Linked DNA regions of Oryctolagus cuniculus. The protein of the gene in region 1 interacts with the protein of each later gene in a biochemical or structural test. Links are inferred from orthologs where the notes say so. Each region holds a gene or a part of one and is shown on either strand. Other genes may lie near its edges.

What was found.
Region 2: the proteins of ARHGEF12 (region 1) and IGF1R form a complex in vitro, tested with the Homo sapiens proteins (2 studies listed by BioGRID and IntAct, with this or other methods). The link is inferred for Oryctolagus cuniculus from reciprocal best matches to the Homo sapiens genes ARHGEF12 and IGF1R.
Region 3: the proteins of ARHGEF12 (region 1) and RPS6KA1 interact in a test that uses a peptide from one of them, tested with the Homo sapiens proteins (2 studies listed by BioGRID and IntAct, with this or other methods). The link is inferred for Oryctolagus cuniculus from reciprocal best matches to the Homo sapiens genes ARHGEF12 and RPS6KA1.

The regions. Positions count from the first base shown.
Region 1 is NC_091432.1:112,976,042-112,979,541, reverse strand, and holds part of ARHGEF12 (rho guanine nucleotide exchange factor 12), read right to left. Parts: intron 2,014-3,500; coding exon 1,543-2,013; intron 740-1,542; coding exon 423-739; intron 1-422. UniProt on the Homo sapiens protein: May play a role in the regulation of RhoA GTPase by guanine nucleotide-binding alpha-12 (GNA12) and alpha-13 (GNA13). Acts as guanine nucleotide exchange factor (GEF) for RhoA GTPase and may act as GTPase-activating protein (GAP) for GNA12 and GNA13.
Region 2 is NC_091443.1:8,487,693-8,491,192, forward strand, and holds part of IGF1R (insulin-like growth factor 1 receptor), read right to left. Parts: intron 3,343-3,500; coding exon 3,135-3,342; intron 1-3,134. UniProt on the Homo sapiens protein: Receptor tyrosine kinase which mediates actions of insulin-like growth factor 1 (IGF1). Binds IGF1 with high affinity and IGF2 and insulin (INS) with a lower affinity. The activated IGF1R is involved in cell growth and survival control.
Region 3 is NC_091438.1:144,943,243-144,946,742, forward strand, and holds part of RPS6KA1 (ribosomal protein S6 kinase alpha-1), read right to left. Parts: intron 2,201-3,500; coding exon 2,070-2,200; intron 287-2,069; coding exon 161-286; intron 1-160. UniProt on the Homo sapiens protein: Serine/threonine-protein kinase that acts downstream of ERK (MAPK1/ERK2 and MAPK3/ERK1) signaling and mediates mitogenic and stress-induced activation of the transcription factors CREB1, ETV1/ER81 and NR4A1/NUR77, regulates translation through RPS6 and EIF4B phosphorylation, and mediates cellular proliferation, survival, and differentiation by modulating mTOR signaling and repressing pro-apoptotic function of BAD and DAPK1.

The DNA.
Region 1 (3,500 bases):
CACTTTCTGTCTGTCACAGCATCTGGGAAACCACCAACTTTACCTGGCGAGTCACAGATAATTAACAGGAGATAGCGGGCACAGCATTGCCCAGACTAGATTCTTAGCTACACGAACCCCACTTAGCCCCCTTACCGTTCCTATTATCCCACAGAGGCCAGCCAACTTCCCCAGGCAGTTTTAGGCTCTTAAAGTTAGAAATTCACCCAAACACACTGTTTGTAGAGCTATAATGTTTTCTGTCACAAGATAAACGATGCTGACATTGCATTTTGTCCACGCCTATTCATGGATATTGCTCAAATAAACATACAGATCTAGAACCTGAACAAGGCTCCGACGCTGGCATTTCAGTAACCCCACACTCCCCTCTGTGAAATGCACTTTAGAATCAACTCTTAACATGTTTAAGTGTGAGGTACCTTTAAGTGTTCAAGGTCAGCCTCTATCTTATGAATGTACTCCATGATCAGGCTGTGTGAATCTGCACAAGACAGAGGACTCTGGATCTCAAAACAGGAATCCTCCATAGCTCCCCAGCGCTGCTGGACCAGGAATTCTGGGCTGAAGGGTGAAACGGCCTCCTCAGAATAAGCATTTTGGGGCGAATGCTGCTGCGGGTAGGGAGAGTCTGCAGAGGGGATGCCTGTGGCAGGCTGCAGGGCGAGTGAGGAGGCGACCTCCTCGTCTGTAGAGCTCTCCTGCATGAGTTCATAGCCATCAAGGATCAGACAGGTTCCTGTCAACAGAGACAGAGCACTCTGATGAGATCAGTGCTGCCCTCAGAACCAGAGCAGGAGGTAGGAGGCTGACAACTTGCAAAGCTATTAGACAGGAGGAAAAGATATTAATTCCTAAGTTTAGGTTTAAGCACATCAGACAGGTCTCTCACTTCAGATTAAAAGTAAACTGAGCCAACATTCATAGCCATTTCTAAGTAATTTCATGTAAGCATTTTGAAAGCTTAAAGCTGGAAACCTCAGTCTCTACGTGATCTTGCTACCACTTCCCCTGTCATTACCTCTCGTCTCACCTCCTGCCATCTTCTCCCTCACCCCACAGACCGTAACTACGAAAACCTTCCTATGATGTCAGCCCACTCTGCTCTCTGCAGGAGCTCTACTCCCAGGTATCCAGGTGGCTTTCCCTCACCTTAATAAGGTCTCTGCTGAAACACTACATGGCAGAGCACCTCCGCTGCCCTCGTTCCTTTCTGCCCTTAGCCCGACCTAGTCTCCCTAATTTCTCACTATCTGACATTCGTTTGTTTCCTATTTCTCTTTCCCCTCCTAAGTACTTAACCTTAATGAGATTAGGGATCTTTTCTTTTTTCCATTTTATTTACTGCTGTATCTCACAGCACCTAGCATGAGGTCTGATGTAAACTCAGTAAATATTTATTGAATGAAGGAAAAAATAAATAATACACACACACACACACACACACACATATAATGCTTGATTATCAAAACAACATCAATTTCAGCACACAGGACACTTTAACAAGGATCAAAATCAAGTTGAAATGTGAAAGAAACTTGCCTGAGATGCGTAAATTAACATCCTTCTCTTCCTTTTTAACTGCTCCATCACCTTCTGATGGATTATCATCACTATGTGCTTCACGGGCATCAAAAAAGTGCTCTCCACTCTCATCAAGACCCCCTTCTGGCTCTGTGGTAGGCATCTCTGGGGTCATAATCATGTGGTCCATTACTAAAATGCTACTTGCCTGGCTATCTTGGGATGCCAGTACCACTGAATCCCGTGGAGCAGAAGATTCAGTTGAAGTCCGTGGACTGTAACAAGTTGCAATGTCACCAGTTCCAGTTCTAACGGGTATCTGTCCTTCACCAGGGTGATACGCCTGAATATTTTCAGAGTTCTGGGTTCCACTGTCTGCCTGAGCCCCCCGAGAGGCTGTCCTCTGTCTTGGGAAATGTTGCCAGTCTTCCTGAGTGCTCTTCTCAGTCAAACCCAGCTGTTGTGCCAGCAACTGCTTCAACAAACCCACTAAAATTTTTAGGAAGGGTAGAAGAAGAAAAAAAACAACAAATTTGCAGCTAAAATCTCAGACTGCCAGAAATAAATTAGTTAGCTGAATTATCAATTATCTCTAATCAGGTATCTTTTACTAACATACAGCCAAAATATTAATTTCATGCCATCGTTTTTTAATTTTGCTTTGAAAACTAGAATAAAGCACCATCTTCCAGAAAAGACACTAAACTAGACTAGAAACATCTAGCATTTTGAATAGGGAAACACTCTTATTAGAACTCCTAAAAATACAGTGTGTGCTTCTCTTTTTTTCTGCCATTTAACTAGAATAATACTCCAAAGGTCTTGGGGTGTTGAAATACCCCAAAGGTATTTGAGAGGCTGTCTTAAGCTAGATGATAAAAACCAAAAAGTTCTGCCTTTTCTAGAAGCAGACACCATATGCATAGGCATATTTTTTCTAATTTTATTAGACATTTAGAGCATTTACTTTATTACACAATCTCTCTAAATGGTGAAGAAGGAAATAAAACTGCCTCCTAATAAAATTTTAATTCCAATAATTTGGTAATACATATAATTTCAAGGCATAAGGAAATATTTATCAGTTTTTAAAAAAATTACCTTCCTGGTGGCAGTTTCTTTTACTTTGTTGAAATAAAGATCAATTTAATTTTAATGGCCAAAGTACATGCTATGAAGTCACTCACACAGTAACAGCTACTGGAGCAATGCTAATAGGACCACAGAAATCACCGAGACTGCTAACTCCAGATGTTACTGAAGACACTGAGCCAATCCCCCAGTTTCATCAGGACGTGATTTGTTTCTTTAAGTATCGGTTCCTACCCCGGTATCAGTCTCTGACCCTCTTCTGTTCTGCACTCACTTACTCACAGATGTTATGGGTTTCTATGACTTTGACACTCAAATCTCTTTTCTTAATCACTTTTCAAAGTTGCAGTGCGAACACCCCAACTTCCTGCTAATCACTTCCTCTTGAATGATTTGCCATCCATTAACTTAATCCCAACATGCTTTAAAACTGAGCCCATAATCTCTGCCAAACAAAAAAAGGGAAAAATGAAGTGCAGTAGCAGGAGATGACAGAGCCACTGGCCATCCTTCCTAACTCTTATTTCTGGTGAGAAGCTGCAGTTATCTCTAAACATACCCTTTCCTTCACCCTCACATCCATAGAAGTCAACTGTCTTAAGTCATTGTTGGCTCCTTGCTTTATATTTATTCCTTCCAACACCATTTTAGTTCAAATACTTTTAGTCTCAAGCCCAGACTACTACAATTGATGCCTTAGTAAATGCACCACTTCAAACTTCTATTCAAATCCTTGCACGGCTTGATCTTTTTTCCTTAGTCACACTCTAGCTTAAAAATTTCAAATGCTTCCATGCAGTTAGAGCAATTTTTCTCAGACTGTTCCCCATCGTGGTACAGATGAGAGATATGCTATCCTCCCATGTGGACCAGTGATTCTCAAC
Region 2 (3,500 bases), on another chromosome or scaffold:
GCCTTGGAAGACAAGGAATCATTCAGCCCCCTTGGATAAAAACCGACAAGCAACACGGGCTTTCCTTACTTCCTCCACTCTGCAGCCTCAGGCGCAGCAAGCGACTCCCTGGCTCCCGGGGCAGGCACTGGCTTACACCCAGAGGCGGGCAATGCCACGGCCACTCTCGGCCAGGCGCTAAGCTGGTGGCTGTTTCACTGGTGCCCTGGGGGCCCTCTCAGTCACAGATCTTACAGTTAAGCAAGAAAAGGGGCAAGCCTGCTGGCTACACACAGATTTATCAGCAGTGAGGGCACAGTGAGGTGCGGGCCACAGTCCCTGGGGAGACGGGGGAGAGGGGTTCCAGGGGCTGTGGGTGGTGACTCACCTCTGTAAGAGATGCCCTGATCCCAGCAGCACGTGCCAGCGTGGACCCCAAGACCCTCCCCGGGGGCTCCCGCTGATTCTCGTCCCCAGGCCCGAGCCTGTGCCACCCTCCTGCAGGCCTCTCCAGCCTGACTTTGCCTCCCACTAAGCATAGAGCACCTGCAGCCTCCCCAAGGCTCCAGAGAGGGGCAGAGTCTTCGTCACGACTTCAGCAGGCTTCCTACCGACAGCTACAGGATCTACTGGCGTAGGAGAAGCCCACAGGAAATCACTCAGGATGGTCGTCCACACCCAAAGGGCAGAAGAGGTGGCGGGAGGCACAGGGAGGCCCCTCCGACCGCCGCTGCTGCTGGGGCAGGTGGAAAGTGAGCTTCCTGGCTCCCCCCCTCCCCAGACACCTTTAAAGCAGGCTCCTGACAGGAAGCGTCCAGGTCACGACACAAAAGCAGTGCCTGGACAGAGGAACAGCAACCCGCAGTGAGCGTGGACCAGAGGTGCTGAGACTGCTGGCAAAGGGAGAGAGCAAACGGGATGAATCCCAGCTGCCCAAGGACCCGAGATGACACCCAGGACACAGGAGGCCGTCAGCGCCCTGCTGGGGTGCTCCCGCGGGGAGGGGCAGCCAGAAGTCACTGGAGGGCTCAGCTGATCCAGGCTGCGCACTGCCCCCGGGCAAACCTGGGAGGGAAGGCAGGTGCTGGGGAAGGGACCAGGGCTTTCATTCTAGAAGGGAAGAACGTAAGGAACCACATCTATCGCCAGGAGGACCTTTTTATTTACTTATTTTTTTTGTCAGGCAGAGTGGACAGTAAGAGAGAGAGAGAGAGAAAGGTCTTCCTTCCGTTGGTTCACCCCCGCAATGGCCGCTGCAGCCGGCGCACTGCGCTGATCTGAAGCCAGGAGCCAGGTGCTTCTCCTGGTCTCCCATGGGGTGCAGGGCCCAAGCACGTGGGCCATCCTCCACTGCACTCCCTGGCCACAGCAGAGAGCTGGCCTGGAAGAGGGGCAACCGGGACAGAATCCGGCACCCCAACTGGGACTAGAACCCGGGGTGCCGGGGCCGCAGGTGGAGGATTAGCCTATTGAGCCACAGCGCCGGCCAGGAGGACCATTTTTACACCCAGCAAAGCTCTTGCCTTGCCTTCAAAATCAACCCAGCACACACTATGTCTACAAGTAAGAAGCTATGGAGGGTCGTGTTGTGGCACAGTGGGTTGCACTGCTGGTTGTCACGCCAGCATCCCATGTGGGCACCAGTTCACATCTGGGCTGCTCTACTTCCAATCACGCTCCCTGCCAATGTGCCCGGGAATGGCACAAGTGCTTGAGCCTTTGCCACCATGTGGGAGACCCAGACGGAATTCCTGGCTCTTGGCTTTGGCCTGGCCCAGCCCTGGCCATTGCACCTATTTGGGGAGTGGATCAGTGGATAGAAGATGGACCCATTAATTCTCTCTCTTTCTCACCACCGTTCATATAAATTTTTTTTTAAATCTTAAAAAAAAAAATTGATTGATTTAAAGGCAGCACAGCAGAGGGAGGGATGGAGATGATCAATCTTCAATCCAATGCTTCACCACCCAAGTAGCCAAATGGCCAGGGCTAGTCCGAGCCAAAGCCAGATGCCTGGAACTTCCCCTGGGTCTCCAGGTGGGTGGCAGGCACCCAAGCACTTGGGTCATCTTCTACTGCCTTCCCAGGTGTGTTAGCCGGGAACTGGGCTGGAAGTGCAGCAGCAGGATGCAACCCAGTGCTCCAATGGGGGATGCCAATGCTCTGGCGTGGCTCAACCCCCTGCACCGGCCCCAGCAACGCAGTTTTACAGCAGGAAACTGGACTTGCAAGTGAGTCTTTCCACCTCCACACTGCTCTGTTCCTTTTCCTTTTCCAGACGCTGCTGGCCTCCCCTGCCGCACCTTCCCCTGCCTTTTAAAATATGCTATTTTGTTTACTATTTTTTTATTATGGCAAAGTAAACCTTAAAAATGCGATGAAAGTGCATGCAACATAAAATTGTGGCATTTTAATTCAGGGGAGTTCACTGCATTCACTATGCCACACAGTCACTGACACCTTTTCAAAAACTTGGGATCACTCCAGACAGGACCTCGCCCCATCACAGGGCGTCCTCCAGACTTGCTCCTTTGTGTCTGCCCTGCTCCACTTGGGACAGGGACAAGCCGTAGTTTCAAGCTTGTCCCTGTCATCGGGTCAGAATCCCCTTATCTGGCTGCACGATATTTCTTGGGATGTTTCCACCACAGCGCTCATCCGTTCACCTGCAGATACTGGAGCTACTTGCAGCCTTGGGCTGCTACGGACGGCACTGCTGGGAGCCGTTCCGCCCCCCACTGCCGTCCCCACTATGCAGAAAGAGCGCTCGGAGCAGCCAGAATCCGTGGGGCAGGTGCTGCGTTGCCTGGAAAGCCCATGTTCTACGCTGCTTCCCACCCTTGGGTGTGGAGCGTGCCTGGGATACTGGGCTATTTTCGGAAGCCGGGCCCCCCACAGAACTGGCTCTGCTTTTGCCCCTTTTGCAACAAGACTCCTCCTCAGCAGGCTGAGAGAGGCCCACGTCCTGGCGTTCCCACTCGCGAGCGTGGACAAGCGCCTGATGCCCTCTGCGCCCCGGCTCCTCAGCAGTAGGACAGGAGCCACCTGTTCTCTACAGGAGGCTGTGCCCTGAGCGTGGGTTACACCTGTAGGGAGCAGCAGTGCCGCCTGTCATGGCTCCCTCAGTGGCCAGTGCTGACCTGCCTGACCCGTACCTGGGCACGAAGATGGAGTTGTGCAGGAAGTTCTCGAACACCTTGCGGTACTCCGCCTCCTCCTTCTCAGCCTGCTTCTCGGCTTCGGTCTTGGGGCACGCGCAGCAAGGCCCCTTCTCTCCGCCACACACCTCCGTCTTGGGGTTCTCCGTCACCTCCTCCACGTCGATGGTGCCGTCCGCATACTTCCTGATGGGAATTTTGTCTTCTCCAGGAAGAAAAGCGGAAGTGGCGGTGTGAATGAGAGCTGAGCCATACACGCGCAGGACAGACACGAGCTGTCAGCCCCTCTCAGAGGAGGGCAGCTGGCTGCCAGCAAAGGCTCATGCAGCTCCCTGCGTGCACCACCCAGGGCACGGACGCATC
Region 3 (3,500 bases), on another chromosome or scaffold:
GGGGGATGGATCCCATGGATCCCACTCTGCAAGGCCCCCGAGTCTGAGCCGCACACCCATAGAGCCCCAGGCATCAGCCCTGGGCACCCGGGGTCCCAGCTGCATTGGCCTCAGCCCCAGCCCAGCAGCAGCCTTGTTTAAGACGCGGCCGCAGGCTCACCTTGACAGCGTACTCCGTGTTGGTGGCCTTGTGGACACAGCGCTTGCACACGGAGTAGGAGCCCACACCGATTGTCTCCTTCACCACGTAGCCATCGCTGAAAACAAGGTTCTTCCCATGGAGTTGCTGCGGGAGATGAAGGAGAGCTGACCCTGGGCTCCAGCATGCCAGCGGTCATCCCCAGCACCCAAGGTCTCAGTAGAGATGGCAGAAAGCCCCCAGGGAGAGTCAGAAGGCCTGGGGTGGTGTTGGCTGTGCAACCCTTAGGCAAGAACCTACCCTTCTCTGGGCCTCAATTTTCTTTTTAAAGATTTATTTATTTGAAAGGCAGAGCTACAGAGAAAGAGGGAGAGACAGGGGACAGGAGCTTCCATCTGCTGGTTCACTCCCCAAATGGTCCCAACAGCCTGAGCTGGGCTGATCCGAAGCAGGAGCCAAGAGCTTCATCTGGGTCTCTCACATGGGTTGGGGGGCTCAAGTACTGGCACCATCTTCCACTACTTTCTCAGGTGCATTAGCAAGGAGCTGGATTGGAAGTGGAGCAGCTGAAGACTCAAACTGGCACTCATATGGGATGCCAGCACCACAGGCGGCAGCTTTACCCACTATGCCACATTGGCAGCCCCTGGGCCTCAGTTTTCTATTCTGTGCAGTGGGCACACCTGTAGCCTGTCTGGGCTACAGTCTGCAGTCAGGGGGCAGTGAAGGGGGCAGGCAGGAGTCACAAGGCACTCACCGAGCGGGTGATGTTTCTGAGAAGCCTGGGCAGGCCTACAGGGACGCAGGAGTCGCAGGGGCCTGGGCGAGGTCCCAGCTCTGCACTTGCTGTCTACCCTTTCTGGGTGCCCCAGCCCAGCTCATGGGTGCCTGAGGGTCTGAGACACGAACAACAGCGACAGCCCAGACGGTGTTCAGTGGGCGCCGTGGGCCAGGCAGTGAGCGCCGTGAGCACTTCTAGCAGGTGCCACACGGCCCGGGACAGCCCTGGCTGGTGGTGGCATCGTCACATGCAGCCCGGTTTAACATCTGTCCTGGGCGGGTGTTTGGTGCCACTTGGGACACCCGCATCCCATATCAGAGCCTGGTTTGAGTTTTGGCTCCTCTGCTTCTGGGCCAACTTCCTGCTAACGTACACCCTGGGAAGCAGCAGTGACGGCTCAAGTACTTGGGCCCCTGCCGCCCACATGGGAGCCCCAGGTGGAGTTCTGGGGTCCTAGCTTTGGCCTGACCCACCCCGTGGGCATCTGGGGAGTGAACCAGTACATGGGAGATCTCTCTCTGTCCCTTTCAAATAAAATGAAAACAAATAAATAAAAATTAAACTCCTGAAACATATAAAAACAAAGCATTTGCCCTGGACAAAGGTGCCCCGTCTGGATAATAAATTCTGTAGCCGTGTCCGCTTCACGCATGCTAACTCAGGTCATCCTCACGGCGACACCACAGAGGAAGGGTTGTCGCTGCCCGTTCAGACTGAGACACGGGGGCCAAACTCTCACCCACAGTCCCTCACCCTGCACTCGTGCCTCTGAACTCGCAGCTTCCCAAGGAGCAGTCCGAGTGTCCAAACAGGGACCAGTGTGAGGACACACAAGGGCCCGGCCACCCATGCCTACCAGGCACCCAACAGCTCCCCCACCCCCGTGCCCCTGGGCGCCCTGTGGCATTCACCCAGACCCTGGCTCCACGCCAGGGCATTCAGATCCACACTGTCACCCACTTGTCAGGGCCACCTTGTGAGGCAGGCATTATGGTCCCGCTTTACAAATAAGGAAAGTGAGACTCCAGGGCGGGGAGGCTCCACGGCTTCCACGCTGGTGTCGGGGTTTGAGCCAGGCCGGGGCTGCGCTCGCTGCTCTGTGGTTTCTGGACAGAGAGGACGACGGGCGGCAGTGCCTGCCCCGCTCACCTGTACCACGGAGTGCAGTGGTGCCTGCGTGGCCCGGGACTTGCTGTCGTCCTCCATCAGGCCGGTGGCCACGAAGCTGAAGCCACGGAACAGCTGATGAGCACCGGCGCTAGGGGGGATGCCTGGGGAATCTGTGGGGGCGGGGGAGGATGTGAATGAGGAGGGGCCCCTGAACCCACGGGGCTCCCAGCCTGCCTCAGTAGTTGCCACAGTGGGAGCTCGGGCAGGGCCTGTCCGTCCCAGGTCTTAGCTCACCTGTGTGCACATGCGTTTAGACCAGCCCAGTCCCACCACATGAGGAACACAGGACTCCCACATCCAGCCTCCCGGTCAGGCCGAGACAGGCCATCCCTCCCCGGAAGCCTCCTCCTTGGCCTCCTGGCCTCGGGGCTGCCCCCAGGGCCCACCTTCCACAACAGCCAGAGCCCCCGCCCTGCTTTCAAACGCTGCCCTCCGCCCTGGGAAAGAGTCTGACAACTGAGCTCCTTAGGATCCTAGTCTCTCTCTCCCTCTCCAGGGCTCAGCCAGGCTGACTTCCCAGTCTTCAGGGGACCCCCGAGCCAGTGCCCACGTGGCCCCTCCCACCAGATAATCCACTCCCTGCGCACCGTTCAAGGCCCGGCTCACACACGCTCTGCTCTGAGTCTCGCCTCCCTGCTCCCCCGGCCCCGTCCCTGTGAGTCTAACTCCCCACAGCAGCCTGAACTCCATGAGGCTCTGTCTTGCTCACTGTCAATCCCCCGTGACTGGTGCACAGCAGGAGCCTTGTACACGTCTGTCTGCTAACCGGATAAAAGCGAGACAGTTTGCAGAAGTGCTGACTGCCCGTCCCCAGAGGAATGCAAGGTGCGTCGAGACCACCACCCCCTCTGCTAATAAAACACACCTCACCTGGAGGCCTCCCAGCACCGACATCTCACTCCCCGCTCACTGCCCAACTCTAGCCAAAAAGTTAGGCTTTACCAAGCTCCCTCCTTCCTGCAGCAGCCTCGGGGAATGAGTGGGTCTGTGGCCATGCCCAGGCTACGGACGAGTACGCCGAGGCTCGGCAGCCAGAGCCGGTTCCCACACTTGCCCTGACCCCTGGGCACCGGCACCCCTGCTCCGCCAGGCCGCTCTGCCACACGGTGCTGCAGGGCGGATTCCTTCCCCCTGACGTGAGTGTAAGCCGGGTGCCTTCGGTCTTCCCAGGCAGCTGGAAGACGCCGGGGGCAGGGGTCCTGCCTTTCCACTGCGGCCGTAACCACCCACACCCCCCACTCCTCACCCAGACACGAGGAGGCGTGCAGAGCCCCGGAGCGGGAGAGTCAGGCAGAGCGAGGCAGGTCCACAGTCAGGCACTCACCCTGCCTCCCACCCACCTGCCCCTGCCACGGCCCTCCAGGGTGCCCCTGGCTCCGTGCTACCCTCCTGTACCAGCCTCAGACAGAC